Arabidopsis thaliana: one gene and its partners. The protein of the gene in region 1 interacts with the protein of each later gene in a pairwise test. Each region holds a gene or a part of one and is shown in the gene's direction. Other genes may lie near its edges.

What was found.
Region 2: the proteins of AT5G07340 (region 1) and SVL4 interact in a protein complementation assay, tested with the Arabidopsis thaliana proteins (one large-scale study listed by BioGRID).
Region 3: the proteins of AT5G07340 (region 1) and AT1G47530 interact in a protein complementation assay, tested with the Arabidopsis thaliana proteins (one large-scale study listed by BioGRID).
Region 4: the proteins of AT5G07340 (region 1) and AT2G33250 interact in a protein complementation assay, tested with the Arabidopsis thaliana proteins (one large-scale study listed by BioGRID).

Annotation. Positions count from the first base shown.
Region 1 is NC_003076.8:2,312,408-2,320,149, forward strand, and holds AT5G07340 (Calreticulin family protein), read left to right. Parts: upstream 1-4,805; 5' UTR 4,806-4,892; coding exon 4,893-5,003; intron 5,004-5,066; coding exon 5,067-5,136; intron 5,137-5,368; coding exon 5,369-6,504; intron 6,505-6,582; coding exon 6,583-6,654; intron 6,655-6,734; coding exon 6,735-6,845; intron 6,846-6,928; coding exon 6,929-7,051; 3' UTR 7,052-7,242; downstream 7,243-7,742. Other genes in the region: AT5G07330 (NFU1 iron-sulfur cluster protein), read left to right, coding at 3,657-3,674, 3,755-4,234; Tudor1 (TUDOR-SN protein 1), read right to left, coding at 7,614-7,636, 7,715-7,742. UniProt on the Arabidopsis thaliana protein: Calcium-binding protein that interacts with newly synthesized monoglucosylated glycoproteins in the endoplasmic reticulum. It may act in assisting protein assembly and/or in the retention within the ER of unassembled protein subunits.
Region 2 is NC_003076.8:23,493,749-23,502,388, reverse strand, and holds SVL4 (SHV3-like 4), read left to right. Parts: upstream 1-4,787; 5' UTR 4,788-4,879; intron 4,880-4,986; 5' UTR 4,987-5,002; coding exon 5,003-5,114; intron 5,115-5,250; coding exon 5,251-5,547; intron 5,548-5,629; coding exon 5,630-5,739; intron 5,740-5,829; coding exon 5,830-6,328; intron 6,329-6,404; coding exon 6,405-6,725; intron 6,726-6,813; coding exon 6,814-6,953; intron 6,954-7,025; coding exon 7,026-7,509; intron 7,510-7,592; coding exon 7,593-7,891; 3' UTR 7,892-8,140; downstream 8,141-8,640. Other genes in the region: RR18 (response regulator 18), read left to right, coding at 1-461, 539-604; TIL (temperature-induced lipocalin), read left to right, coding at 1,233-1,607, 1,692-1,877; YKT61 (SNARE-like superfamily protein), read right to left, coding at 2,261-2,311, 2,766-2,852, 3,064-3,129, 3,346-3,450, 3,540-3,629, 3,698-3,771, 3,920-4,112; FIP1[V] (FIP1[V]-like protein), read right to left, coding at 8,389-8,445.
Region 3 is NC_003070.9:17,447,304-17,455,587, forward strand, and holds AT1G47530 (MATE efflux family protein), read left to right. Parts: upstream 1-4,249; 5' UTR 4,250-4,420; coding exon 4,421-4,690; exon of another isoform or gene 4,691-4,984; intron 4,985-5,085; coding exon 5,086-5,281; intron 5,282-5,370; coding exon 5,371-5,716; intron 5,717-5,812; coding exon 5,813-5,899; intron 5,900-5,984; coding exon 5,985-6,041; intron 6,042-6,133; coding exon 6,134-6,491; intron 6,492-6,573; coding exon 6,574-6,660; intron 6,661-6,753; coding exon 6,754-6,807; 3' UTR 6,808-7,158; downstream 7,159-8,284.
Region 4 is NC_003071.7:14,094,009-14,100,900, forward strand, and holds AT2G33250 (uncharacterized protein), read left to right. Parts: upstream 1-3,360; 5' UTR 3,361-3,445; coding exon 3,446-3,850; intron 3,851-4,175; coding exon 4,176-4,670; 3' UTR 4,671-4,743; downstream 4,744-6,892. Other genes in the region: XID (myosin XI D), read right to left, coding at 1-10, 320-421, 512-658, 743-879, 948-1,097, 1,215-1,374, 1,465-1,523, 1,633-1,789 and 4 more; AT2G33255 (Haloacid dehalogenase-like hydrolase (HAD) superfamily protein), read left to right, coding at 4,787-5,120, 5,512-5,554, 5,646-5,706, 5,832-5,966, 6,186-6,350; AT2G33260 (Tryptophan/tyrosine permease), read right to left, coding at 6,832-6,892.

The DNA of each region.
Region 1 (7,742 bases):
TCACTTTTCTAATATTTTAAAGTGTATAGCCTATTTAAGTATATGATCTGATTTAATTAAATGGAAAACAAAATATTAAAAGTATATTCTTGAAATTGGGACATATATTTTTATGGTGATAAAATTTAATTATAGATTTGTAATTTGATGGAAATTTTTTTGATAAATAGTTATCAGCAATATAATAAAGTTAACACTCTTATAACAACTTAACAAAAAAAACACTCTTATAACAAAAAAGAAGAAGTTATCAGCAATATATTTATACTGTTTTCGTTGACTTAAAAATATAACTTATAACACACCTATGATTTATATATCTCAATTATTGTTTTGTTGCGATCATTGATATTCTTTTTTAGACTATGTTTCAGAATGATGACAACAATGTTATACCTAGACATATATAGTTTTAAATGTTGTTTTCAGCTTTAACCTATATTTATTTTAAAAATCAGCGAGCTTTTCTTTTCGTTTTTTTAGAATATAGATTTAACTTAAAATTTAGAAATTAGAGTAAAATGAGTAATTTAAACAAAACTTGCAAATCAACAAATTTCTTAAATAACTGATTGTCAGACAGATCACAAGCAAAAGAAAGCAAAAACCGTGATAGTCCCCAAAACAAGAGAATTGGTTGGAAAGGGTTGATTGTGAATAGTCATTATATCAAAGACTTCGTTCGGTCGTGGAGTCAGAGTCAGAGTCAACTATACTTGTAAATCGTAACTTGGATCTTAATGTATAAAAAGATAGTTTTAGAAGAAACAACAAGATCATAAAACTATTACAAACAATAGGGATATATATACTTCTCGTTAGAGAATCTACACATCACCGGAAAAATAAGAGAAAACAGAAAGAAAAATTAAAGAGAAAATACGAAGAAGAAAGGCGTAGCCTTCCCTTTGCCTCTGTTGACTTGCCGTTTGTTTTCTTCCTTGATCTGTTGTTAACCAGAACCAGAGAAAGATAACGGAACCGAGCTAACTTCCATTAGCCGTAGCTCGACGTGCTTCTTAACGTCGTCGTCTTCTTTCTCGGTTTCTTCCTCCTCCATATCTCTTTCCCTTCCTTAGATTAATGAAAACGAAGCTAACTGTTAGTGGTTGCTTTAGTCTTCTACGTCTCTCTTCACCCCATTTATAATGCTTCATCTGGTCCCATATCCAAAACCTTATATATATAATGGCGTATATTATTATCGTATTATTGTTTAAACAATATATTTTAAACATGAATTATGTCTTGTTAAGTTTTCGACCCATGGAATCTTTTTGAAAGTTATACCTAACGTCGGTAAAAATTTAATAAACATTTTTATAACGTGCATCTACTTTTAAAAGAAATCCATTTGCATTATTGCATTAAAGATGTTTAAGCATTTGGCTCTCCCCAACAGTTTAGTTCAAATTGTTTGATAGAAAAAGTTGTTTCTTTTTCTTTTCACGTACAAGTACAACGCTTGATTCTAAACATTTTAAGTTAAATTTGAACCATAGTTTAACAAAGTTGTCGAAAAACTCAATTATACTGCAAATGAACGATTTGAACAATATAATAGTGTTGAAGCTAGTGGAATAAGATATATTCAGACAAAGGTATGACAAGAAGTATCGAGGTGGTTTCTGTAGAGGGATGGAATTATTCTTTAATTATTTTTTCGTCGGCATAGTTTTTGCTATATATCTTCCACTTGCTGGAATTATATTAATGTGTTATCTAAAGTTCGCAGCATAAATTATTGTTGTTGTTACTGTTTATCGTTAATACTTTTTCTTGCTTTATTATTAGTAGGGCTACTTTGCTAAATAAAGAAAAAAAAATAGAAGTTTAACTCGTAAAAATGATTAAGTGGTAGTCGTAAATAAGTGATTCATAATGTAAAATTAATATATAGTGTCAAAAAAAAAACATGCTATTTATTTTTGACTTCTGCATGACTATTAGCACACACAAGAATATATATTATATAGAAATGTCGTCATTCCACTAGCTATAATATATACATTTTTGATTTTTTTACTAAATAGATCATATATTTTCGTAAAATACTAATTTTCTAAGGAGCTGATCTAGTTTAGTGGTCATACGAGGACCACTTACCTCATCAGCTCAACCCACTAATATTGAGTTTGTACCAGTTTGACAAAAAAAATACTTAACTTTTCAGAAAATAAAATGGAATTAGTTATTTTCATAATTACATTTTCAGTTAATAAAACTAGGATAACAAAAACTTGAGTTTTCTTTTTCTTCTTCTGAAAGTTATGACCTACGTAGCTAGGTTTTAGTTTACAGTCGTGGTTAACTTAGAGACTCTTTGATCATCAATCAGTTAAGACCAATGCTTCTTTAAGCCATTTAGTTTATTCTTGATGATAAAAGTACGTAACATCATTTTTAAAAAATTGTGGTGAGTGAGTAAAAGTCACGATACAAAGAAAAATATTCATAGTTTGAAAAGAACGTAAAGTAGAGATGAAATGTGAATACGATTATATATATTGTTTACATAGTTAATGTATAGGCCTTTCTTTCTTTATATAGGATTGTAAAGCTCTTTACACCGCTTTATTTATAACAAAAATAGAAATGAGCAAATAATTACGTCGAATAAGCACTAATTCCATTAAAGTGGGAGCTAGTAAGCACCAAGCACACTAGTTCAACTCGTATCAATTTATTGTATTTAAATCAGTAGTTAAAACTTGTTTAATTTCCTCATTGAGAAAGATTTGCCCACTTTAGTTAAGTCTTATCCCAAATAGCACTTTAGTTAAGTCTTTATCCCAAATAACTTGTTTACTTTTACTTTTCTATTAAAATTATGAATAGTACTGAATTCACTATTTAAATAAAGGCACTATGAAATAAAAAGAACTCCATAAAAAATGCATTAATTATTTTATATTTCTTAAATATAGACAAACTTTATAGAATTAATGGCTACAATAAATATTACGTTGAAAATGTCGTTTTAATATTTCTCCATCTTTTTTACATAATATTTATATGAATTTAAATTTGAATGTCGATACAACGATAACACGAAGACGAGAAAATATAACTATTTTCATTAGAATTGACACCAAACATATTTAATCTCTTCATTTTTGTCTTAAAAACAAAAGAACATACTTTCGTGACATAGGTTCATTTAGTACTTGATGGATTTTCGTGCCATTGGTTCATTTACTCGATGCAAGGCACGGTTCCATCGACACAGCAGCAATGTGATTGTCACATGTCGCGTGGTAAGACGAGGGTTGCTAGAGCTTACCAGTAAAAGAAGATACACAAATTTTGGTCTTATCCATTAGGCATACAAATTTAAAATATAATTAATATCTCATATTTTTAATTTTGACAGAACCAATGAAATAAAACACGCGCATTACTGCAGTGAATCCCAATTATAAGGAATCTGATTTGACGTGGATCTTCAAGACACTTCCACGAATTAAACTGCATGTTCTTAAATGCTTACACGTATTACTTCTACAACTCTCTTCTCTACTCCAGATGTCTCCATCTTCCTTTTATATCCGATATCTAAAACGCTCTCAAGTATAGCACAATCCACAACAACAAAAAGTACAAATCTTACTCTTCTTTTCAGCTAGATTTTACTAATCACTCGCCAAGAACAACCAATGGCCGTTCGATCAACCGTAAGTAACCTAAGACGTCGTCGTTTCTCTATGATTCATTTGGTCTTCACGATTTGACTTTTATCATTTTGTGTTTGAAGGGTCACTTGAAAAACGTAGTGCAGAGGTTAAGAACTTACACGAAGGCGACAACCGTACCAAGATCCAAAGCGTATTCTACGGCGGCAACAGAGTATGGTGGCCAGAGAACCGCCACCACAGCGGCAGCAACAAAAGGTGACTTCACACCAGTTTACGTCTCCATAGGATTGATTTCATTGTCAGTAACATTTGGTGTCTACACTGCGTATCTTCATCTACATGAAAACCCTGGCGTACGTGTCAACAAGAAGATGAGAGAGACCGTTCCCGAGATCGAAGATCCAGATAGAGTTCTAAACGAAGCGGACCGGTTCGCTAACAGGTCTTGGTTTAGGAAAATAGCTCACGTTCAAGAGTTTGACAAGCAGGATGTGATCTCTGACCCAATCAGGAAAGACCAGTTTGCTCATAAACCTCGTGCCTTGACGCTTAAGGATGTTGGCGTTGATCCTAAGATATCGGCTGCTGCAGCTCACTAAGTTTTTATGAAGGCTGGTTTATGTGTTTTGTTTTCCATGTTTCTGTCGATAAATAAAACATCTGAAGGAGATCAAAGAGTTTTCAAATGGGTCGGTTAAGGTTTTATCCTGTTTCCTCTTGGATGTATTACAGTGATCAAGCAACTTTTGAGTGTATTTGTGTTGTTTCAACAGCATGTAAATTATCTAATGAAATTTCGGTCGAAGTAATAATACAACTTCGTTTTGCTTCTATTTTCTTCTGGATTAACGATTTTAGTAAAAATACTCATTTGGGAGAAACCAATTTCTTGGGTCTAGGTTTGAATGAGATAAAATGGTTAACTTCCTAACCTTCTAAGAGTGTCCGAGGATTCATTCGCATTCTAATTGGGCCCAGGTCAAGGCCCAGGACCAGGCCCTAGTGGGGTAAAATTTTGCACGCGTCGGTGCTTTGTTTTGGATGACTTGGCGAGAGGTGATAGGGTAGTGTCACGTTGGCGAGCGATATTCATTGGAAGATAACAATCAAAATGACGTTCGTAGGTCTAAGAAATACGAGGACTAAAGAGTAAAGAATATCTCTCTCTCTGATCTACTTAGTACTTACTTAGTAGTTACTTCTCTGTCTTATTTGATTTTGAGTCTCTGTTTTGTCTCTTCTCTTGAGATTGCGATAATGAGAGAACGGATTATTACATTCGTTTCGCTGCTTCTTGTAGCTTTGCTTTCGTTTCCCAGTGTTAGCTACTGTGACGACCAAACGGTGATTGGTCACTTCCTTGAAAAAGTTCCTATTTTAAAGATTTGTTCATCGAATCTCCAGTAACATGGTGTTTTTGTTGTTGTTCAGATCCTGTATGAATCGTTTGACGAGCCTTTTGATGGTCGCTGGGTCGTTTCAGAGAAAGCTGAATACCAAGGTAAAGCCATGTCGTCGTAGTGAATTCGTGTTTTGAATTTTTTGGTTTTCTTTCGTCTGTTGAAGTAAAAACAAGTTAGAATTAGTGTAATGGAAGTTACAATCAAAAGGGGGTCTTAAAGTTTTGGTTTTTATTGGAACAGATTTAGAAATGTTTACTTTTACTATAAGTGGATAAGAAACAGACTTTGTGTGAGCTCTTAAAAGGTTGCTTCTTATTTGAAATCTTTTAGGTGTGTGGAAGCACGAGAAGAGTGAAGGGCATGATGATTATGGACTTCTAGTGAGTGAGAAAGCTAAGAAGTACGGAATAGTTAAAGAGCTTGATGTTGATGAGCCTCTAAACCTTAACGAAGGAACTGTTGTTCTTCAATACGAGGCTCGTTTCCAAGAAGGGCTTGAGTGTGGTGGTGCTTACTTAAAGTATCTTCGTCCTCAAGAAGCTGGATGGGTTCCTCAAGGGTTTGATAATGATTCTCCTTACTCTATCATGTTTGGACCTGATAAGTGTGGTGCTACCAACAAGGTTCATTTCATCTTGAAGCATAAGAATCCCAAGAGTGGCGAGTTTGTTGAGCACCATCTCAAGTTCCCTCCTTCTGTTCCGTTTGACATGCTTTCTCATGTCTACACTGCGGTCTTGAAATCTGATAATGAGGTGAGGATTTTGGTCGATGGTGAGGAGAAGAAGAAGGGTAATTTACTGTCTGCTGAAGACTTTGAGCCTCCGTTGATTCCTTCCAAGACCATCCCTGATCCAGAGGACAAGAAGCCAGAAGACTGGGATGAGAGAGCCAAGATTCCTGATCCTAATGCTGTGAAGCCTGATGACTGGGATGAGGATGCACCCATGGAGATTGAAGATGAGGAAGCTGAGAAACCCGAAGGATGGTTGGATGATGAGCCTGTAGAGGTTGAAGACCCCGAGGCAAGCAAGCCAGAAGATTGGGATGACGAGGAAGATGGTGAGTGGGAGGCTCCTAAGGTTTCCAACACCAAGTGTGAGGCAGCACCCGGATGTGGCGAATGGAAGAGACCGATGAAGAGGAACCCTGCTTACAAGGGCAAATGGAGCTCACCTCTCATAGATAACCCAGCTTACAAGGGAATCTGGAAACCAAGAGACATTCCAAATCCTGATTATTTTGAGCTTGAGAGGCCGAATTTGGAGCCCATTGCTGCCATTGGTATTGAGATATGGACAATGCAAGACGGTATCTTATTTGACAACATCTTGATATCTAAAGACGAGAAGGTTGCTGAAACTTACAGACAAAGCACTTGGAAGCCCAAGTTTGATGTGGAGAAAGAGAAACAAAAGGCAGAGGATGAAGCTGCTGGTGAGGCAGATGGTCTCAAGAGTTACCAGGTATATTGATTTTCGCCACAAATTTGGAATGCTTATACATATCCTTTGTACTTATATTATGTATGTGCATTACTGCAGAAGAAGGTGTTCGACCTCTTGTACAAGGTTGCAGACATTTCTTTCCTTAGTGCGTACAAGTCAAAGATTATGGTAAGTTCTCATTTTCAGACTTTAGAAACATATTGTATAATGAAGAATCTTAAATGAGAATTTGCAATTTTCGTTTGTAGGAACTTATTGAGAAAGCTGAAACACAGCCAAACTTAACCATCGGTGTGCTCATTTCCATCGTGATCGTCTTCCTCTCTCTCTTCTTCAAGCTCATATTTGGTGGTGCAAAGGTAAAAAAAAAACATGTCAGTGAGATGTAATGTTTTGGTTGGCGGGTGTTTGAGTCTTAACGAAATTCTTGGTATGTATGTAGGCTAAGGTAGAAAAGAAGAAACCGGAAACAGCTGCAGAGACCTCGACAAGCGAGGCAAAGACAGAGGAGAAAGCAGAAGCGGTGGCTGCACCACGAAAGAGGCAGACGAGGCGTGAGAGTTAGATAAAAAGAGGATTAGATTTTGATTTTTGGGGCTTTTTGTTTTGATTTATCACCGTATAGACAAACAGTAGTGGACCTGATATTAAGACGATTATTGTAACATGTTTTTTTTGTATGCTTTTAGTTTCACATGAATCTGAATGTGGATCACAACATTTATGAGTTGAAATTTGATAAGTAATGGGTTGTGTACATCACATGCATCAGCATTATCAGTTTATCGTCTTTAGCTCGAGTGTTTACAACAAAATCTTAGCTTCGAGATTTAGACTTCTCTACCAAAGGGTCTTGATAGCCATGGCACGAGACTCGTATGATATACTAACCACAGTTAGGTCTGTTTGCAGAATGGATTCTTTGACAGAGCACGAGCTTCAGCAGCCAGAAGAGCATCATAAAGGTTTGATCGCTCTTCAAAATCTGTGTGTCTAACCACATTTCCAAAACCACGGGCAAGAACGAGCTCAGCACTATTCACCAGCTGGCTGACTGCCAGCAGATGATGCAGTCACTTCATCAGAAAATAAGACCAAAGTTGCTCCAACGACCATATCCTTCCTGCTTAGTCTCTGCTCTTTTTTTGTTCTTTCTAATGTCAGTGTAACATAAATAAGACGGCTTAAGGAATGGAAAGATAAGTTGGACCAGAAAACACACAAAAACTGTAAGCATGGTTCAAACTTCCCCTTAT
Region 2 (8,640 bases), about 21 Mb from region 1:
TGAACACAACCAGATTCCCACCGAGTTCCTTACCACTAAATCTTGCTTTCTTGCCGGATCAAGTGACATGTGCAGGGAACAATCTGGGAGATTGTACTTCTTTGGTTTCTGCAGAGAATCCTGGTGGAGAGATGCAGTGTGATCCTCAATTACTTGGCGGCTTCATGCAGAACGTGAATCCGTTAGGCGGACAGAAATGGGAGCAACAGAACTGCACCATGCTGAACAATCCATTCGGTAACATTGAGTATCCTCTACCCGCAGATAACATGGTTTTCAGAGACAACAATTCAACCAGAAGCAAAGGCTTGGATGAGTCACTGATGAACCCAATAGACAACAGTCAAGAGTATGTTGGAAAAGCTACTACAATGCTGGATCCAGAGATGAAGTCGGGAAAGCCAGAGAATGACAACCAGCATGATGTATTCGATGACATAATGAATGAGATGATGAAACAGGTAACGCGGTTGTTTTCTTGATTGGATTAAAAGCTTTTGTAGTTTGTAGAAAATGAAAGTGAATGTGTTTGTTGCAGGAGGAGAATAACGGAATGGTGCCAGTGGCTACTAGATTTGGCTTTGATTCATTTCCTCCACCTTAGCTAGTCATCTCTTTCTCTACCAGTTGCATTAAGTTTCTCCACTTGAGACCATTTTCATGTGATTTTTTTAAATTTCTTCCCACATTGTTTCCTCCGACTGTCAATAGATCATAGTACACCAACCTGTTTCATACTCTCTTTTATGAATTGGAATTGAAAGCGAGCCTGTTACAAAAATTTATTTTATAAAGTTTCTGAATAAGTGTTGTTATTCAAAACCAATATACGAATAGTAATGGGCCTAATTGAGATCGTTGGTTTACATATGGAGCTATTTTGAAGTGTCAACAAGAAGAGATATTTAGATGTCGATAGGATAATTTGGTGGGGCCTAGAAACGGCTAGAGGAAGTCAAATCAAAATGTGACTGTATGGCCCATTGTATTGTATCCTTCTTCCCACAGAACAAGGAAGACATTTGTGTCCTCCACCTTTATTCACATTTGTAACTGCTAGACGCTACTAGAACCCTTGCCCTACACGCTTTCCACGTGGCATCCTCTCGTCCCAGCGAAATCTCCTTGATATTATTTTTTTATTTCCTTATAAAGAACAGAATCTCTTCTTATCCTTTTACCTCAAAGAAAACATCGAAATCTTAGAGAAGAAGAAAAGAAAAAGAAGAGAAATGACAGAGAAGAAAGAGATGGAAGTGGTGAAAGGGCTCAACGTGGAGAGATACATGGGCCGTTGGTACGAGATTGCTTCTTTCCCATCAAGGTTTCAGCCAAAGAACGGCGTCGACACTCGCGCCACCTACACCCTTAACCCCGACGGTACCATACACGTCTTGAACGAAACGTGGAGCAACGGGAAGAGGGGTTTTATCGAAGGCAGCGCCTATAAGGCCGATCCTAAAAGCGACGAAGCCAAGCTCAAAGTCAAGTTCTATGTCCCTCCTTTCCTCCCAATCATTCCCGTCACCGGAGACTACTGGGTGCTCTACATCGATCCTGACTACCAGCACGCTCTCATTGGCCAGCCTTCCAGGAGTTATCTCTGGGTTGGTACTCTTTTTTTTTTCTCTTTAACGAATAATCGAAATTGATCCCAAAAATGATTGACTCTGTATATGTGGGTGGTGTAGATATTGAGCAGGACGGCGCAAATGGAGGAAGAGACGTATAAGCAGCTGGTGGAGAAGGCAGTGGAGGAAGGTTATGACATCAGCAAGCTTCACAAGACTCCTCAGAGTGACACACCACCTGAGTCCAACACTGCCCCTGAAGACTCCAAGGGCGTTTGGTGGTTCAAATCTCTCTTCGGCAAATAGATTACACGGCACACAAAGACTTTGTTTCACCTCTTTGATCCTTTTGTCTGTGTAATATACTACCCCCTTTGTCTACTCTAGTTATCTTCCATCATCTGCTTTTGTCTATTTACGACATCTTCATCTAGTTATGCAAAGTCGTCTCTTTTACCATAAGGAAGCGCACACAAATTCAATCAGATCAAATCTGGGAAAGACAATTCAAATCTTGCAGAAGTTGACATTATGTATTTGGATAAACACACCACACGACTCGAGACTTATGGAATCAAAATAATGCATGCAAACTACAGACGGAATTATATGTATAGATAAGACGATAGAAAAAACAGTCTCCCCCCAGCAAAAGTTTGGTTGACTATATACCCAGCAGGACTTCCAGCTCACAGAATAGTACAGCATGAATTTGTTTTCTTCGCTTGCTTGTAAAACATCTGTTCCAACCAATACAACCAAATCAGATTTTCATGTTGGAAGTAAACATGGTTTACCTAATCTAAATAACGAAGAATATCTTGAGATTCCAGAGGATATGACTAATACATATGTTCCTCCCCATGGTCAGATGATATAGCAAAAAACACTATGATTCTTCGTAGCAAACCTAATAATTCCAAAATCCAACTGTATAGTTCAAACTGCACTCAAATGTCTGCAGGCTGAAGCAGAAAGCTTTTTCAAAGAAGGTATTCTAAATCCACATTCTTCCTCTATTTATCTACCCCAACAATAACATGCAATAGTTCCTCTATCAATCAACAACACTTATAAGCCTGCTAAATCAACAACCCTTTCTAACGTGTTCACCAACTATGCTCAGAGATCGAGACAGGGAAAAAAGGAAACTAAATCTATAAGAATTTCTAGAATGTGACTTTAGAATGTTACCTGTGATGCCATGCTCAAATCTGAGCTCTTCTCCACTAGGCTGTCCAGCTTCTCACCACGGGCTAGAACACTATCAATGGTTTTATGCTACAATACAGAACAAAAAATCAGTCTTACGGAGACAGGGACATCCATCATAACTACCAAGACTTTCTTCTTGTTTTGGTGTTTTTCAGAAGAAAGTAAACTCACCGACAGAACAGCATTTATGTATAATTGGCAAGTATACTGAAACTTAGAAAAGGAAGTACCGCTTATGTATAAGGGTCTACAAGAAAGGACCGGAGACAGCACTTACAAGGATAATCTTTGTCTCATCCAACTCCCTCTGGATTTTCAACAGCTTATCAGCCTCTGCTGGGTCCTGAAGATTACAAATACGGGACAATCCCAAAATCAATTTAAGATCAAATCACTCAAAATCCAACATGGTCATAAAACAATGGGGGCTACTAAAATTAATTCATGAAGAATGAATCATTCGATTGGATTCTAATGTCCACCTAACTGAGCTTAATATAACTACAGTTTTAACAAAATTCACAGTAAAAGAGCGAATACAGTTGCACAAGTGAAGAACCTGAAATTTGTTTAAAGCTTCGGTTAAGTATGGCCAAGGCTGATTGGAGTCTTCTTTTGCAGACCTCCATGACTCACCAAAACTCTTCTGGTACTCATCTAGGACCTGAGACAAAATTAAATGTCAAGCAACCCAAATTACAGGAAAACTTACGAATGATGCATTGAGAACCACTTTCAACATAATGATATTACCTGATTGAGAAGAGAGAAAGCACTTCGAACAGGGTAATGATCGTCCATGAAACCCACCGCGCAAAGGCCATTTCTATTGTAAGCGTGAACCTTGTACTCTAAACCAAAAACAAAATAAAAACACGAACCCTAATTATCCCAAATTCGAGGACTAGAACAATAAGATAGAATCGCAAGAAATTAAAGCCGGGGCATAGTCCAGGAAGATCTAGAATCAGAAACGGTGCACATCCTAAATCATAAAAGTTTCAAAATCGAAAAGCCGATCCGAATTTAGAAATCGAATAAAAATCAAAGAGGAAAGGAGATTGCATTAGATCCGGGAGAAAGAAGATTTGAAAACAATCGATCTAGAGAGGTAGAAGAAGAAGGAGAAGAACCTTCGTGTTGAACAGACTGGCGTTGGGAAGGAGGGGTTCGGCTAGCGACAGTGCGACCGACAAAGACGACGAACTCCTTGACGCTAGATCGCTGGAAATAACCGAAGTGAGAGACGTCCGAAGCGTTGGAGAGGATGACGGGATCAGAAGCTTCGGGAGCGCACTTGAGAACGAGCAAGGCGGTGATCTTCATAGCTGCGGTGGATCCAAGGTTGCGTGAGAAGGAAGCGAGGAGGAGGAAGAGAAGAGGCTTTGGACCTGGATTCCTTACTCGGAGATGCTAAAGGCAAAACAAGTTTTGAGGTGTCGAACCAAACGCAGACGCCTTCTCATTAACATTGAATAATGAATATATACCCTCTTTTTCTTATTCGCTATGTTGAAGTAAAAATTAAAAACCTTTGGTTCAATTCAATTTTATGTGGGCAGTCTCGGTTCGGTTTAGCATATATTGATGCAGAATTGGACCGGAATCAAAGATTTTTCCATCACATAGAATTGGATTTTTAAGAATTTTAAGTCTAGGCAAAAACTGAAACCAAAGAATATTTTAATTTTTGCCAATCGAGTTTTCTTATTAACGGAATATTGGTTTGGTTTAGATCGGACAACTTGGTTTGGTCCGAATGCCAAACTCTAATATTGTCATTTTAACTACATACATGTATGACAAATGAATATAGTACAAAGTCCAAAACTGAGGGGTGTTACACCCATTTGTGCAAAGAAGATGTAAGAAAGCATCAAAAAAAGAAAAAGCGGTTAAGAAGGGAATGGTGGAGAAGAAGAGATAAAAATAGAAAGGAGTAAATGGCCATAAATGGAGGATATGAGAGCAAGTTACTTTTTTTTACCATTAATTAACCTTGTTTGACCCATCTCCTCTTTCTCTTCTTTTTCCTTTCCTCTAACTAAACGAGGAAAACAAGCAGGAGAGGGGATTCATGTTCTTTTCTCGCTGTAAGATCTCTCTTTCACAATTTTCTTAAATGTGACAATTCTGTTTTTGTTACATGTATCCTGACTTTGCTTTTCCATTGGGGTACGTACGTTACACACAAATGCAGGATCAATCAGATAGAGATGCTGAGGTTTTTCATTCTTTTCTCCCTTTTCTTACACTCTTCTGTTGCGGCACCCAAGACTCCTGCTGCTGCCGCAGCTGTTCCTGCCAAGAAATGGCTTACCCTTAACGGTAAGCATCCTTTTACAGAGTATGCCCATATTGCATACTACCATGTTTTTTTTTTTGTTGTTGTTTAATGTTAAGACTTAAGATACCATGTTGTTTGTTTGTTTCTAAGAATCCGTACCTGTCTTTTGTCTTCCAGGACAAGAGCCTGCCGTTGTGGCCAGAGGGGGCTTCTCGGGTCTTTTCCCTGAGTCAAGCATCTCTGCAAACGACTTGGCTATTGGCACCAGCTCGCCTGGCTTCACAATGTTGTGCAACCTTCAGATGACTAAGGACGGTGTGGGCCTTTGCTTGTCAGATATCAGACTTGACAATGCAACCACCATCTCCTCGGTCTTCCCCAAAGCCCAGAAGACCTACAAGGTCAACGGTCAGGACCTCAAGGGCTGGTTTGTCATTGATTACGATGCCGACACCATATTCAACAAAGTCACTCGTATGTCTTCTTCTCTTTCATTTCCTCCCTTCAATGCTCACCACCACCACCACACATTTTCATGTTTTGTATTATTGAGCAGTGGTCCAGAACATCTTCTCTCGGCCTAGCATCTTCGACGGCCAAATGTCGGTTTCTGCAGTGGAGGATGTCCTTGGAACCAAGCCTCCCAAGTTCTGGTTGAGCGTTCAGGTATGTTTTCTTCTCTTTGAGAACATGATTAACCAACATATGGAGCTTTTTTGTTGATTCATCAAAACAACAAACAATGCAAATGTGCAGTACGATGCCTTCTACATGGAACACAAGCTGAGCCCAGCCGAGTACCTGAGAAGCTTGCGATTCCGCGGCATTAATGTCATCTCATCTCCAGAGATTGGTTTCTTGAAGAGCATCGGGATGGACGCGGGCAGGGCCAAGACAAAGCTCATATTTGAGTTCAAAGACCCCGAGGCAGTTGAGCCCACCACCAACAAGAAGTACAGCGAGATTCAGCAGAACCTCGCAGCCATCAAGGCCTTTGCTTCAGGCGTTCTTGTGCCCAAAGACTACATTTGGCCCATTGACTCAGCTAAGTACCTTAAGCCCGCCACCACTTTTGTGGCTGATGCTCACAAAGCCGGTCTAGAGGTCTATGCTTCAGGGTTTGCCAACGACTTGCGCACCAGCTTTAACTACAGCTATGATCCCTCTGCTGAGTATCTCCAGTTTGTGGACAATGGCCAGTTCTCTGTTGATGGTGTCATCACCGATTTCCCGCCAACAGCATCACAATCAATCAGTGAGATGACTTGCTATATATGTTTCCTCAGATAGCTGATTATTAAGAAGAAGCTAAAGCGTCTGTTTTCTTGCAGCTTGCTTTTCTCACCAAAACGGCAATCTCCCCAAAGCAGGGCATGCATTGGTTATAACTCACAATGGAGCAAGCGGAGACTATCCAGGCTGCACTGATCTGGCTTACCAGAAAGCAATCGACGATGGAGCAGACATAATTGACTGCTCTGTTCAGATGTCCAAAGACGGAATCGCTTTCTGCCATGATGCTGCAGACCTCTCAGCAAGTACCACCGCCAGGACTACTTTCATGTCCCGAGCCACCAGCGTTCCTGAGATCCAGCCTACCAACGGAATCTTCTCTTTTGATCTTACATGGGCCGAGATCCAGTCTGTGAAGCGTAAGAAACTGATTTCTTTTCTATAGATTTCTTAAACTAATCTTATTCTCAACTAAGTCACTGAGCATTGGGATATCTTTGTCTTCAGCACAAATAGAAAACCCCTTCACTGCCACGGGCTTCCAGAGAAACCCCGCAAACAAGAACGCCGGGAAGTTCACGACTCTTGCGGACTTCCTTGAGCTCGGCAAAGCAAAGGCAGTCACCGGAGTTTTAATCAACATTCAGGCAAGCCATTTAACTTCCAAATGCTCCTTGACTAACACAAGGAAGCTCCACTAACACTGTTTTTGTTGACAGAATGCTGCTTATTTAGCCTCGAAGAAAGGCTTAGGAGTCGTAGACGTAGTCAAGTCTGCTCTTACAAATTCCACACTCGACAAGCAATCAACCCAGAAGGTTTTGATTCAGTCGGATGACAGTTCAGTTCTATCTAGTTTCGAGGCTGTCCCTCCTTACACAAGAGTCTTGAGTATCGACAAGGAGATCGGAGATGCTCCTAAGACATCCATCGAAGAAATCAAGAAGCATGCAGATGCTGTCAATCTCTTGAGAACTTCCCTCATCACCGTCTCCCAAAGCTTTGCCACGGGGAAAACTAATGTGGTAGAGGAAATGCACAAAGCGAATATCTCTGTATACGTCTCGGTGCTAAGAAATGAGTACATCGCCATAGCGTTCGACTACTTCTCTGATCCTACGATAGAGCTTGCAACATTCATTGCAGGGAGAGGCGTTGATGGAGTCATCACGGAGTTCCCTGCCACCGCTACCAGATACCTAAGTAAGTTTAAACTTCTACAAAAAAACAAAAAACAAAAACATTACCAAGATAAGGCTGATCAATTATATTTGATGCAAATGCAGGGAGTCCATGTTCAGATTTGAACAAAGACCAGCCCTATGCCATCTTACCTGCAGATGCTGGAGCTCTACTCACCGTGGCAGACAAGGAAGCACAACTACCAGCTATTCCCCCAAACCCACCTCTTGATGCCAAAGACGTGATTGATCCGCCTCTGCCTCCAGTTGCAAAGTTGGCCTCCAATGGAACTGAAGGTGGTCCGCCACAAACTCCTCCTCGTTCAGGCACCGTTGCCATTGCTGCTAATCTCAGCCTTTCCTTGCTGGCAATGATGGCTTTGGGACTCCTTTATACAGCCTAAAGAGATTGATCACACCATATAACCTCATATAGGTTGTAACATGTTTGCCCTCAGCGTTTTCAAACTGACACAACTTGAGTTATCTATGTTTTACTCATGTTAACCAAAATATGCATCAAACAGTGATTTGTTGTTATAGATCAAAAGCTCTACAGAAACTTTCTTTGTTGTCATAGGAATGTTTTTTTCGGTAAAGATTTTGAGTCTTGATAATCTTTCATATTTTATTTACGATCCTTCGTTACCACAGTCTCTACTTTCATAGTTGTTGCTTTCTGATAACTCACATTGTTAACACTAATGATCAAGACCAAAGGCCGAGTACAAATTTAAAATAGTAACAAAATTACTACAGTATATAATACAGTGCTGTCAAGTATTTTTAAAATATTCTCGCTCTCTCCGGAGGCGCTAAGTATAAGAACAAAACTAAAAGACCAATAATCTTTGACAAAAGTTACATCAACTACTACAAGAGTATTCTCTCAGAGTTATCCTTATGCGTATTCCCTCCCTATTCTTACACAACTTCGCTCATCCCACACATACTCTCCCTAAACACCTAAATAATCTCCATTGAGCTTGATCTTTCATCGCATTACTGCTACAACTGCTCCGTGGGATGGGAGAATCTCATGTCATCCGTTTAAGCATCGTAAGCTACATTGAGAATCAAACTTTCCTCAACCCAGCCAAAGAGGGCCACAGTTCATCGCTTTTTATTTCAACTCCAGTTTATGACTCTCAGC
Region 3 (8,284 bases), on another chromosome or scaffold:
TGTGTATAAATACTTACATTATCTGAATGAATAAAGCAACCCTTACCAAATATTTCAAATAGTGATTGTCTGAAACAAGCATCATTCGGGGCAAAGAAGACTTACTTGCTTAGTGGAAGAAAGTCTTCATTGAAAATAACACAGCTAGTACTAGCAGAAGTGATAACATACCGAAAGGAGATGAAGAAGTTAAGAGGCAAAAGAGTCGGCCCAATGATGTGAAGACGATGGAAGATGTGACACGAGTTGCAACAAACAAAACAAAAGGCATTACGAGACTCTTTCGTTGTCGTAATTTCTCACCCCTTAAGATATTTGTTTGTTTGGTTGTGAATAGTTTATAAGTAGAATTCCGGTTTAAATCGAAGAATAATATTCGACATTTGCATATCAAGAGGGAGGACTAATTTTACTTTGATCAAACACGTATAATCCTTTATCTTATAAAGTACAAATCACCTAACAAATCATATTATGTCACATGGCTTACTTCATAGATTTGAAAAAAAAAAACAATGAAAAAATGATTAACGGGCAAGAGTAACCTTCTCAAAATAAGGCAGTTTGAGTTTTCAAAATTTATTCACACGATGCCAAGATTTATTAACACATTTTTCACAATAAAATCATGTATGATTAATCATACGCTGGATGGTAAAGAAAAAGCGTATGATTAATTGTTTTCTCAAAGGCGTCACATCTAATACATCATGTATCACAGTTTATACCTTTTCCGCATTCACTTCTACCATATCTTAAATCTTAAATATTTTCTTTGTTTTTGTGTTGTTTTTTGGGTTGAAAAATTAATTGAGACATCATTGTAAAGGTTTGGTTCTAAATTTTATCTTTATATTTCTTAGATTGTTCTCATATTATTTTATCTATGACGAATTACTAGATTATACTTATCATTCATTTTCATATTTTAGTTCCAAACTAAATGAAAATTTTGATGGTTATATTTTTATGTTTTTAATTCAAAATTACATATGTATAATGAAAATTACATTTTTGCATATTTAACGATGGAGTTTTGAAAATATCAATTCCCACCATTTCACAAGAAGAAAATCAAATTCGGAAGATCCATCTCCATTTTCTACATGAAATAAATTATTATAATATCATATATAATATTTTTGTAAAATTTCTTACATACTTCTTTCTAATCTCAAATAATGTTTTGTCCAACAAATTACATCAAATGGTTTACAAGATATATGTATCCTCTCTTAGGAAACTGACAACTAAACTAGAAATATTTTAGGAAGATATGCAAAACTACCATTTCTTACTACTCTTTTGCAACAATACACTTTTATGTTATCCATTTTAAAAAATACCACTCATCTGAACAGAATGACCAAATAACCCTTATCTAATAAAAACATGTAACTGGAACTGAAATTTTCCCACCAAATTTTTAGTGCCAAAATTTACTTTTCCCGCCAAAACAAAATTCCGCCAAACTTTTTTCCTGCCAAAAAGAAAATTTCCCGCCAAAATGTTTTTCCCGTAACAAATTTTTTCTCAACCAAAATAATCCTTTTAAAAATCCTTAGAAAGTTTTTTAAAAGCTTTGATAGTTATTAAAAACCCTTATAAATCATTTTAAAATCTTTATAAAGTCTTTAAAAACATATGTAAATACTTTAAAAATCCCTTTTAAACCTTTGTGAATCATTTTAAACCTTTTACAATAGTTTTAAAAGGATTTACAAGGATTTACAATGATTTTTAAACCTTTGTAAATCCTTTTAAAATCTTCTTAAAACTCTTATAAAGTCTTCACAATCATTTTTTAACTCTTAGAAACAAATTTGTTAGTATTTTAAAACATTTATTATTCTTTTTGAACCATTTTAAAACTCTTGTGAACCTTTACAAAAGGTTTTAAAAAAACTTACAAGAGTTTTTAAAGGATTTTAAAACTCTTGTAAATATTTTAATTTTTTTTTAAACTATTGTAAATCCTTTAAAACCCTTGTAAACCCTTGTAAACCATTTAAAAATCTTTTTAAAACTCTTGTAAACCCTTTTAATAATTTTGAACCATTTTAAACTCTTGTGAACCTTTACAAAAGGTTTTAAAAAGATTTATAAGAGTTTTTAAAGAGTTTTCTTTTAAATTCTTTAAAAATCTTTTAAAAACCCTTGTAAATATTTTAAACGCCTTAAAAATTCCTTGTAAATCTTTTAAAACACTTTTAAACCCTTTAAAAATCTTTTAAAACCCTTTAAAAATCCCTTGTAAATATTTTAAAACCCTTTTAAACCCTTTAAAGATCTTTTAAAATCCCTTGTAAATCTATTTCCAGCCAAAAAAATATTTTTGCGGGAAAAATGTTTTTGAGAAAAAAACTTTGATGGAAATTTTTTTTTCGAAATTTTTTGGTGGGAAATTTATTTTGGAATATTTTAGGCGAAAAAATATTAATATTTCATTTTGTTAACCTAAAACAATTTCGAAATATGAGTAAAATGGTCATTAAAAATTTAAAGAGGTATAAATGAAAATGGCAAATAAGAAAAGGTAGAATTGAAAAGGGGTAGTGTGGAAAGGACATTCTGAGCAATTATTCAATATTGTATGACTACTAAATTCTCATATGCAAATGTGAAATCAAATTTGTATTCAATCACTTGTTTATATAATGTCTGGTTCTTTAGATATTAGCTCACTTCAGGTAAGAAAACAAAATGTGGTAGCCTCATTACTTCATTAGTGCAAAGAAAGTGATTCTTTGGGATAAATTTGGATAATTTTGAATCAAAGCTGTAGTAGGACAATACACTTTTATAGTATTTTTTATTAAAGGGAAAACTCAACATCTAAAGGCAAGGAATATCCAACAGTTTGAACGCTAAACAATCAAGGGACAAGCAGAGCGTTTTCTAAATAAAGTTGCCGTTCTTTGAGAGCCGAGCTCGAACCGTAATCTGGCTTCATCACACACATAGTTCATCTTCCCGGTCGTCCCATCTCTGCAATCAGGAAAATGCAACCTCGATCCAAACCTCATATCACCTCTTTCCTTAATATTCTCCATAATATCTTTCACAATCACACCATCCATATCTCCTTCAGAGGCAATCGATGTAACCTTAAGCAGCTTAGGCCACCACGGTTTGATATTGTAACTAAATACTCACAAGAGTTAATCTATGTTAGTTTTCGAAACAAAAGAAATATGTGAACAAAACTAACAACCAAGGAGTGAAATCTTTTGAGTCCACATGCAATATGTGATACAACGAGGATTCATCCCTCTCAGTATAGACTAGTTATTCTGAAACATAGCTTCCTCACTACCGCAAGAATCCCATGATACAACAACTACGCTCTTACAACAATGGTTAATTTGATCACGATTCAATAATCATCTACCATGATTCACTCTCTTTTTGGTTAAAGTTCAAAGTAATATTTTCGCATTTCTTTGATATAAAACGATGTCGATTATTTGGTTCATGACTTTTTATTTCTCTTAGTTTCACAACAACTTCGCTCTCACAACAATGGTTAATTTGAGCACTAACCAATGACCAATTGACCATGCATGATTCACTCTCCTTTTGGTTAAGTTCAGACAGTGTAAAAGCTTTTCTTGTTACAAAATGCTGTCGATTTTTTGGTTCATCAATTTTATTAATTTCTTTTGCACTTTCACCAACACCTAATATTAAAAAGAAAATAAAAACAAGATCCACCAATTCAATGCGATAGGGTAAGTGACTAAATGTTCATTGCCGTTGTCACCCTTTGAACCCAATTTAGGACTCAAAGAGCCGTCTGATTATATTTAACCTTGGTCGAAGTATTTCTAACGAGCTGGTAAGTCCTCATTGGTCCATTATATTCACTGTCCACAATAATTTTAATTACTTGTACGACTCGGTTAACTCCTTCTAGGAAAAACTAAAGTGTACCTACCTAGTACATACGTACTTCTTCATATTACCACAAGTTTTTTTTTTTTTTTCTTGCATTCAACTACGTGTTTAAAGTTTCGGCCCCAAACTTCGGCCCAAAAACAAAAACCAAATAAACTATTACAAAAATCTTTGTTATCATATCACACTATCATTTCAAGTTTTCAACCAATCCATACTCTTAACAATCCCATTAAATTGAGATTTATTCATATTAAGAAATTATGCTGATAATATTTAACTACCAAATTAGGCCGATTCATACCAAAACTATAGAATATGTACTAAATAATTCCATTACCTTCGTTTAGTCATTTTTGGCGGTTTATTTCTTTTGGATAGATCTCATGTCAGACCTTTTTAGACTATTCATTATGGCACCTACCACACTAGTGTGTCTCCATCTTCTGTATTTATATACATATATCATAAGTCAGAACAAAGAGAAAGCAAAGAAGAGAAACTAAAACAGAGCTTTTTTCACATGGGAAAGGATAAGACTTTGCCGTTGCTTGACCCTCGTGAGCCACCGGAACTCACCGGAACCAAGTCGGCGTCAAAAGTATGGGCCAAAGAGTTCGGCGAAGAGTCGAAGCGGCTTTGGGAGTTAGCAGGACCAGCGATTTTCACTGCCATAAGTCAATACTCTCTTGGTGCTCTCACTCAGACTTTCTCCGGCCGTCTCGGTGAACTTGAGCTCGCCGCCGTCTCAGTTGAAAACTCTGTTATCTCCGGTCTTGCCTTCGGTGTCATGGTATGTTACGTAAACACCCTTCACACGTGTCAGGTTCTTGGTAATGGATAATGTGTTCTAATAATAGCCACAGAAATAAAAGTCAATATTTGAGGACTTTTTTTGTATTAATTAATATCAATATTCGTTAATATCAATGAAGTAGATTTTCCCATACATTTAAAATTGTTTCGTAATTGTGATTAAGTAAATCCTAACAGTGTGTTTTATATTCAAATAAAGTAGATATATTAATGTAGTTGAGTTCAGTGTTATAATATTTGTTATACAAGTAATCTCTACGAGGGTCCTTGTGTAAGCTCTCTTGAATTTTGTTGCTTGTCATTTAAGTTTCCTATGAAAAAAGCTTAGAGATCAAACAATATAAACATTTTGATGATGGAAAATGGTGGCAGTTAGGGATGGGGAGTGCATTGGAGACGTTGTGTGGACAAGCATATGGCGCGGGACAGATTAGGATGATGGGAATATATATGCAACGTTCATGGGTCATTCTCTTTACTACTGCTTTGTTTTTGCTTCCCGTCTACATTTGGGCTCCTCCTATTCTTTCCTTCTTCGGCGAGGCTCCTCACATCTCTAAAGCCGCGGGTATCATTCTTGTTATTCCTTTTTGCCAATTGGTTTTGAGTTTGGAGTCAATGTTCACGTAACAACTTCTGCGTTGTTATAATTTTCAGGGAAGTTCGCATTGTGGATGATCCCGCAACTATTTGCCTATGCAGCCAACTTCCCGATACAGAAATTCTTGCAGTCACAGAGGAAAGTTCTTGTGATGGCTTGGATCTCTGGAGTGGTTTTAGTTATACATGCAGTTTTTAGCTGGCTCTTCATTCTTTACTTTAAGTGGGGACTTGTAGGTGCAGCTATCACTCTCAATACCTCGTGGTGGTTGATTGTTATTGGTCAGCTTTTGTATATCTTAATCACCAAATCAGACGGTGCGTGGACTGGATTTTCTATGCTAGCGTTTCGGGACCTCTATGGATTTGTCAAACTTTCCTTAGCCTCTGCTCTTATGCTTTGGTACCTATCCAATTTTTTTTGGCTAGAAGATAGCTTTAGACTTACGTTAGCTGAGACTTCGCTTGTAATGAAAGGTTAGTTGTTTTTGTTTTGCAGTTTGGAGTTTTGGTACTTGATGGTTCTGGTTGTTGTTACCGGTCTCCTTCCTAACCCGTTGATACCAGTCGATGCCATCTCCATTTGGTAATCAATTTGTGCTGATCTTTGGTTAGTTTCTCACTGAAAATAGGTTTGTTTAGTAACATATTTTATGTTTTGGGGTTCACAGCATGAATATAGAAGGGTGGACTGCCATGATTTCGATCGGGTTTAACGCTGCGATTAGGTAAGTTCTCTACCTTTATGTTTCAGGAGCCACATTTGGAAAGCTAATAAAAATCTCATGAACTGGTGAACTTTGTCTCTTGGTGTGATCAGTGTGAGAGTATCGAATGAGCTGGGTGCAGGAAACGCAGCGTTAGCCAAATTCTCAGTGATAGTCGTCTCCATAACTTCAACTCTTATCGGGATAGTGTGCATGATTGTTGTCTTAGCCACAAAAGACAGCTTCCCTTATCTTTTCACTTCAAGCGAAGCTGTGGCAGCAGAAACCACGAGAATAGCCGTCTTGTTGGGCTTCACTGTCCTCTTGAACAGCCTCCAGCCCGTCTTGTCAGGGGTTGCGGTTGGAGCGGGGTGGCAGGCTCTGGTTGCATACGTGAACATTGCGTGTTATTACATTATCGGACTACCTGCTGGTCTTGTTCTTGGATTCACACTAGACCTCGGCGTTCAGGTTAGCTATTTACTAATATGACCATTTTGTATTAGCCTTGTTCTTTTTAATCTGGTGTTAAATCATTTGTATATTTTTGTAGGGAATATGGGGAGGTATGGTAGCTGGAATATGCTTGCAGACACTTATATTGATTGGAATCATCTACTTCACTAACTGGAACAAAGAGGTCTCTTACTTTGTCTTTTAGTTGCTGCTATGTTCCTCCTTTGTGTTTGGTTTGATCATTTCATTAATTAGCTTTGAATTCTAAATTATGCAGGCTGAGCAAGCGGAGAGTCGAGTTCAGAGATGGGGAGGAACGGCGCAGGAGTGATCAACAACTCCCTTAGGACGTGGACTATATCAGTTATTGATCTTTTTTTGTCAATGTTCAATGTTGAGAAAATTGTTTATCGGAGAACAACATCATCTCTTTTTGTTTTTTGATATGCTTAAAGTTAACGAGTCTCTCAGTGATTGTTAGAGGGGTACGGTTTGTTATGTGTTAGACTTATGTTAGATTCTAGGATGGTTGTTGCTAAGCCAAAGTTCTTGATTAATTTTAAGTATGAGATTTAATCTTCATAAGCTTGTTGATCCTTCGTTTTTATTTTAATGGTCAGACTTGATCCAATGTTTATGTTCATTTGAAGGCGAAGATCTTACCGTTTGTCAAACATAGCTAATTAGTGGTGGTATTAGCAACAGATCTTTAGGACTGTCGTTGATCTGTTGCAACTCAGTCACTAAAAATTAACAAATCTTATATAAACAAGAGGAATATTAAAAAGAAAAAAAGAAGATGAAAATGAATATCAAAATAGTTGTGTGACGATACAATATATTAGAGATGGACTACAACAATTCATGAATCAGGGTCACAGACTAACCGTTAAAGCAGTAAATTTGTCTGCCCATCTCATAAGTGTTTGAATTAAAATTTAGGTCAGTCGAGAGCTGTGTGCTATATACTAGATAGTCTACCCTTAATTACTATGTTTGGTTTTCGCATGGAGATTTACTATAAATACACAAACAAGTAATAGTGCTCAAATTGTGAATCAACCCATGCACTAATCCTTTTCATCAATTCGGTCACGGTTAGGATAATGGATTCCGTAATATGGTAACAAATGCATTTTCTGAAATATCAAACTAACATCATTTAATGATTATATTGTTTGATACATTTTATGATATATCAAACTCTGTAAATCAACCAATATATATACAATTACAGTCTAACTTATCTTTTTTTTTTTTAATCTGTGAATGGTTTAGATTTGCATGGATTTAAGGACATAACTAATTAATAATGGTTTAGCGTCTTGTTGTTTTCCTGTTTGGGCATGCGTGCTTCTCTTGAGTCTTTTGACCTTGTAATCTCTATTATTGGAAATTTATGAAGAAAAAAAAGAGTACTTGTCAAAAGATAATCTTATAGTTGGGTTTTACTGTAAGATATTGAAGTTTCGATGTTTTACTTATATCTGAAACGATTGATATTTGCAATAATAATAGTACGATTTTTTTTTGAAATATTATGAAAATCTACAAGAGCTCCGATTTTGTGGTAAGTCAAGATCGTAAATAAAGACAAAATTAACTCGAGTCTCATGCAATGTTGTATATGGTATACAATACATCAATAACCTATTAATTAAACTTTGTAAAGATAGTAAAAATGATTATTTTGGTTTACGCTATCGTTCCCTTTTTTCTATTTGACATGTGCATTTTTACGGAAAGATCGAAGTCGCAAATATAGTCATTAATTTAGTCAAAAGATGACATGCATATTAAGTTCTTAA
Region 4 (6,892 bases), on another chromosome or scaffold:
CTGTTCAAAACTGCAAAATGTGAAAAGAGAAAGACAACGTTGTAATTGTAACACAAGCATTAAAACTGCTATCAGTTGAACCATATAACAGCTAGGAACAATCAATTATGAGAATAATAATAATATTGTCCCAGACCAGAAAAAAATCTCTAGCTAAGTAGCTAAAACTTAAGAAATCCAATAACAAACCATCTGCTCAATGTTTGAAGAAGACTAAATCAGAGAGCATATAGGCAGCCATGCAGGAAGCAGTATAGGGAGTTTATAAATCAACTCGAAAAAGGAAATTGAACATTTTGGTAGCGTACCGGTTAAGCACCTGTTTGTCTTGAAACTCTCAAATCCATAAATATCCAGGACTCCAATTATGTACTTAGAACTTGAGTCTTGGCCAATGGAATTATTTATCTTAGTCACAAGCCTGGGAGCAATAAATTTGTAAGCTTTCAAAACTTTATATCCCAGGATTGATAATAAGCCCTTAAGAAAGAAGCCGTTATTGTAAACCTACCAATCAAACAATTTAGAATAGACAATCTTGGCAAGAGCATCTCTGCTTAGTGCTGCACTACCGGGATCAAGAGGCTTTGTAATGCTTTCACCACGAGTCACCATCACCCTATTGCACAAGGAGTTCTCTAGAGCTTTCTCATCACACCTACCCAAAAAAGAGCAATCAGGGTTCTACCTCCCATTGACAAGAAACCTGTAATCCGAGAACACATAATAGTGAAGCATATACATGAAAAGTTTTGCAGCAACTTTTAGATGGAACCGGGATTTATCGTCCTTGGGTTCTGCACCATCTGATTCTTCGCTCTTTGCAAACTCAATGTTTCCTAGATGAAGGATAGCAGCAACTACCCGAAAGATTGCATCCTACAAAAGTAAAATGTAAGAAGAGTTATCCTCATTGCTGATCATGTCAATGAAAAAACAAAAGGTACCTGTTCTTCAGGACTAATTCCAACAACGTCCATAGCTTTCCTCGTAGCTAGGTATTCTTTGGAATCATCAATTGCATCCAATGCATGGCAATTCGATTGATTTAGGTAGTGAAATGTGCTTGGTTTCCCTAACTGATACCGCTCAGTTTCCTGAAATTTCAGAACAGAAGCTAGTTTTCAGTATGAATCCCATATATGGCCAAGCACTGGACATACAGAGCCTTCATATGTTCGACCTGATGTAAACATACAAGGGACCATGTTTACCTGTTCTGGCGCAGCGCAAAGCATGTAAAAGCAATGATAGTTTCTTTCAGGATCAGAAACTTGACAAACTCGTGACCTCTCCAGCAAATATGTTCTAATAGCAGCTCCTGAGATTCTTCCCATATGATTGAACTGAATCTCCACAAATTTACCAAAACGACTGCAATATGAGATTTGCCTACATATGTCAAGGTTGACTTCAAGAACATACATAAACTTGAAAAATCAAGAAATGTGAATGACATTCCACCTTGAATTATTGTTTCTGACGGTTTTTGCATTACCAAAAGCTTCTAAAACTGGATTTGACTGCATAACAGGATCATAATACGAGAAGAATAAGAAGATATCTACAGAGAGAAACTCAGTGAGTCTGTCTCTAGTAAGAATGTAGATGCATTGTAAACAGACTATCTACCTCCAAAACTTGCTGTTCGACAGATCGTCCTTCACTCTCAGCTTTTCCACCCATGTATGCAAGATATTGCATGAGCATTTTTGTGCTCTCTGTCTTCCCAGCACCGCTTTCTCCACTCACCAAGATCGCCTGGCTTACTCCCTCGTTGATCATTTTTCTAAATTTATATTCTTGATGATGGTGAGGCCCAAAAAAAAATGATAGTGCAACATTAGTTAAAGTTTCATCTATGCAACAAAAGATTACCTGTATGCAGAATCAGCAACAGCAAAAGGATGTGGGCTTAACTCGCCAAAATCTGTGCCCTTATATTGCTCCATTATCTCATTTCCATATAGGTGGGGTAATCTTTTAAAGGGATTCACAGCTATCAGTATATTCCCTGTGTATGTCTGTAACCATCAAGAAGAAATTAGCTTGCTACAAACACTTCAGAGAAATATTAATGATATTGCTATAACTGTGCAGTAATTTTCAGCAAAACAATGGTAGAGATAATCATAGAATTCATAAGTGGGTGTAATGAAAGAAGGAAAACTGACAAGAGTTACATGCTGAAGCGTACATATATTTCATTTGCATTGTATCTGGCTTTTAGATTGAGAAGAACCCCTGGTTCATGCAAATACGCAAGCTTTGTCATGTCGTCCACACCAAGCTCAGGAAACTCAGGATCCTTGGGGTGGACAGCATTAACCTTTGCCACAACCTACAAACAAATGCATCACAAATATGAGCAATGTATTCTTAAGGTACCTTAAGAACTAACACATTGTCTCGTTGCTTTGGAGAAAAGGGACTAACCGTCTTGGTTTGGCAATTAACTTTGATCTCTTGACCGTTAGCTTCCACAACTTCTCCATCTAGCCAGGCTTCATCTGGATCTTCCACCCAGACCTGTGACCCCACAGTTACCTTCACTGAAGCCTGATTAAAGTAGAATATATTAGAAACAAATAAAAAAAATATTGTCAAGCTTCATTAGCTGGTTCTTTTGTTCTCTTTTAGACACATCTTATAATGAAATCTAAAATGTAAGGGGCAACATAAAAATCAGCTCAAATAGCAATTATGGTTACAGAAGATAAAAAAAAAAAGGTAAAAATGAAGAACACGGAGAAATCGCAATGCAGATAAGAGAAGAGAGACTCGTACCATTATCACGGCCAAATCTGGTCTGATTTTCCTAGAAATGATCCCGAATAAAGATTTCCAACGGGAGAAACATTAGAAAAAATCCCTGAGAACCCAATCAGCTGGTGTTTCCACACCATGGATCCAAACACCATAAATCAAACACAAAACGCTTCTCTCTCTCTACTAGCTTCAAAATCTCTGATCGACGTTATAAATGCGGAAGATTAAGACTACATTCACGTTTTACGGACGATATTTCAAATTTCTCCGACGATTACAGAGACCTTAAACCCTTCGGCTTTTGCCTTCCAATATTTCCCCAGGAAAGCTGGAGATTCTCGCAGAACGTAAGAAATTTTCTCGCGTTTTCCCTCGGAATATTCTCTCCTGGTTTTTTTTTGTTTTTGCCTTGTTTGATGCTTCGTCTCTCTCTCCCTCGTTTCTGGAAAAAGGAAGAGAAAAGAGAATCCACGTAGGCGTGTCAGGTCAGACATTTGATGATCTCGAAATTACCCCTGCAATTATACCGGATTTCAGTTCTAACATTTCTCCTGGACCAAGCCGGTTTATAGTATTCGATTCTAATGGAGGAGATGATGACAACGTGGCGCAAGTTGAGTGTGTCTATACATGGAGCAGAGCATTTTCTTCACTGTTCTCGCTTCGCCAGACGTTAATGGCGGATAGAGGAGCTCTTTCGTTACCGCGAGCTTCTACTTATCTTAGTTTCTCAAACCTCCATGTCTGGCGATTCCACAACCCTAGATCTTATCCTCCCTCTCGTTCTCAACTCCTCTGTTTCTCTTCCTCATGCTCTAGAGTAACTTCGGCGAAGATAATTCAGCTGAACCGCCGGAGATTCAGCTATAAAATATGCGCCGCCGCTGATGACGGTAGGGGATACCGTTTGACGGAAAGGGGAAAAAGGGGAAGGAAGCGGCGGGAGCTATGGGAAGAACTTTTTGAAGATAATGTTGAAGACGATGATGATGAAGATGATGGTGGTGGTGGAATTGGTAGTGCTAATTTTGACCTGTGGAAGATCTTAGAGGAAATTGTAGATAATGTTTGGATTTTAAAGGTAATTAGTTTCAATCATGCATCTTTTAAGCCTTAATTATGAAATTAGCCGGGAATCTACTACTGCTAATTGAAAATGCTGATTGATTAAAGTATCAAAATTGTTCTTTGGTAATGGTTATGGTGATCATGTAAGAAACAGTTAATATCGTTGTGTAGTGAATCTGAACTAGTTTTGATTTCTAACTAGATAGTGTCTTTCTGCTCAAAGATAAGAGAAACGGCTTTGTTGATATATAGCTGCATTTTATTTGCATACACCAGATTTTGCTCTCTTATTGTTGGTGTGGGATCTTTATTGTGTTTGGTTTATGTTCACTTTGTAGGCATTCAAATCGTATGGATATCTCCTCCCATTCATCATCTTATCGCTTTTCTTCAGCACCGGACCCAAAGCTTTCCTCGTGTCACTAGCCGTAGCAATCGGGCCATCATTGTTATTTTATGCGTTCCAGAAGTTGATTGGTTGGGATAAACGCAGAGGTACATCAATAGCAAATCAATTCGGGATAGAGGAAGAAGAAGAAGAAGTGGAGAGAAGTAGTAGCAGGATTCGATACAACCCATCAACCGTTAGAAACAATGTCAATGGCCGTGGAGTTAACCGTAGTTCAGCTGGAATGGCTTCTAAGTTTGGTGGGTGGGACGAGTTAGACGGGCTTGGTACCACCATTCCCGAACGGCCAACAAGCGAACCGAAGAAGAAACCGTTACCGAAGAGGAAGAGAGTAAGAAGAGAAAAGGCAGCAGAACCATTATTGTTGAGATTGTTGGTGTCTTTGTTTCCATTCTTAAGCACATACACAAACATGCTCAAGTGAAAAACCACTAAACCAAAACAAACCAAGTTGTTCAAATTAAACCGAACCGAAATTGGTTAAAAATAGAGAATAATTATGAGCCTCAATTTCAGTTTGAGCATCACCATTTCTTTTCCATGACTTTCCTCTTATCAAGAACATTTATTTCTCTCACTCTCAGACCTTCTTGTTCGATTTCCATGGCGAATTTAACGACGAACGCTAAAACTCGCCTGAGAGGTGTTGTATTCGATATGGACGGAACCCTGACTGTTCCGGTCATCGATTTCGCCGCAATGTATAGAGCTGTTCTTGGTGAAGATGCTTACAAGCGAATCAAAGCAGAGAGCCCTAGTGGGATTGATATTCTGCATCATATTGAGTCGTGGAGTCCTGATAAACAGCAGAAGGCGTATGAAATCATTGCTGATTATGAGAAACAAGGAATAGATAAGCTTCAAATCATGCCTGGTACGGATTCATCTGCTTTATTTTTTTATTTTTGATTTTGTGTTTGCGCTGAGGAAGTGTTAAGGATTTGGGTTTTCGTCTGATAATCTATCGTAAAATGGGTTAAAGATTGAGAATTTCGTAGAGTTAAAGATGAGAAAAGATTGCAAATTCAAGGCTGAAAGATAAAATGAACATTTGTTAAAAGTGAAGACTTTATGGTCTAACGGAGGTTTGACTTTTGTCTTAGAGCCCCACATCACGATTTGAGATCATTCCTTTACTGGTCATTGACTTTATGCTGTTGAGTTCTATAAGATGATTTAGCAGTTGAAAATCTAGAAGGAGTACTGTGTTTCTTTGGCGTTTAGAGGTTTAATTCTCTTCTGATATGTGATCATTTATGTGGCAGGTACTGCTGAACTATGTGGCTTCCTTGATTCCAAAAAGATAAAGTCTGTGGTTTTCAGATACTTCTGTCTATGATTTTTTGTTTTCTTGTTCAGATAACTTGACTGTTGTTACATTTTGTATTTTACTTTATAGGAGGGGGCTAATTACACGCAATGTTCAAAAGGCAATCGACATCTTCCATCAACGTTTTGAGGTAAGAATGTTGAATTGAAGACATTTTGACAGCTGCCTGAGATAGGTTTAGCTGGATCATTCTTTTTTTTTTATCAGAGAGAAGAAATCTGAGGCAGTTCCTTACAGTTATTTTTCATTGTATAGGTTATCTTTTCTCCAGCACTAGGCAGAGAGTTTCGTCCATATAAACCAAACCCAGACCCGCTGTTGCATATATGTTCTACATGGGACATCCAACCTAATGAAGTCATGATGGTTGGTGACAGCTTAAAAGATGATGTGAGTGACAGACATGATGACAAGCCTTTGGTCAACCCTTTCTCCATAGCAAATCGATAAGCAATGCAATGAAAGAAGCTTAAACAATGGATCTTCTCATGCCATTGCTTAAAGATTTTCTATGTGGAAAGGATGCCTACCAACTTTTCAGACTATTTTTCTCACATCTTTACTGAAGATTACAACTGGTAATCGATCTTTCTTTTCTCGATTCTGCAGATAGCATGTGGGAAACGAGCTGGAGCCTTCACTTGCTTGCTAGATGAAACCGGAAGGTATGGACCAGACGATTTTTCTGTTTCCGGTCTGCAACCTGATTTTAAGGTTGATTCCTTGTCCAAAATCCAGAACCTATTGGAGACGAACTTCGACCTGAACCCGTAGTTTTTCCAAGTTCCTCATCTTGTAGTTTCAGTGACCAAATTAGTGTCCTACTCAACACAGTATCTGTTCAGGATAGCCATAAATGTCAAACCACGGAATTCTATGCACTGGCTATCTTTAAGTTGCACAATTGTGTCCCTGCATGGTCGTCTAGCGAACATGTGTGTGAGGGCAAACATTGTTGTTTGTTAAATCCAAAATTTCAAGATTTTTAATATCATCTCTAGTCTCTGAATGGCTGAATCTGTTTCTTAGTAAGTCTTCCAACAATGATAGATCTAGTGTGAAATGTGATCCTGCTAAGTGAAAAAGACTTCTCAATCGCTATTAGTGTTTCTACAAGGAACCAATGAATGCATATATCTTCGTGAAGGTCCCAGTGGGGTCTTTTTGCTTCCCTAGCGTCTGGTTAGCACGGTCAGATTATGGCATGTCTTCGCAGAATCATGATACAAACAAAACATTTGTATTTGATGGTGATCTAATGCCATATTCCCAGAATAATGGCGATTGCAAATAAGATCAACAAGGTAAAGTTGCCT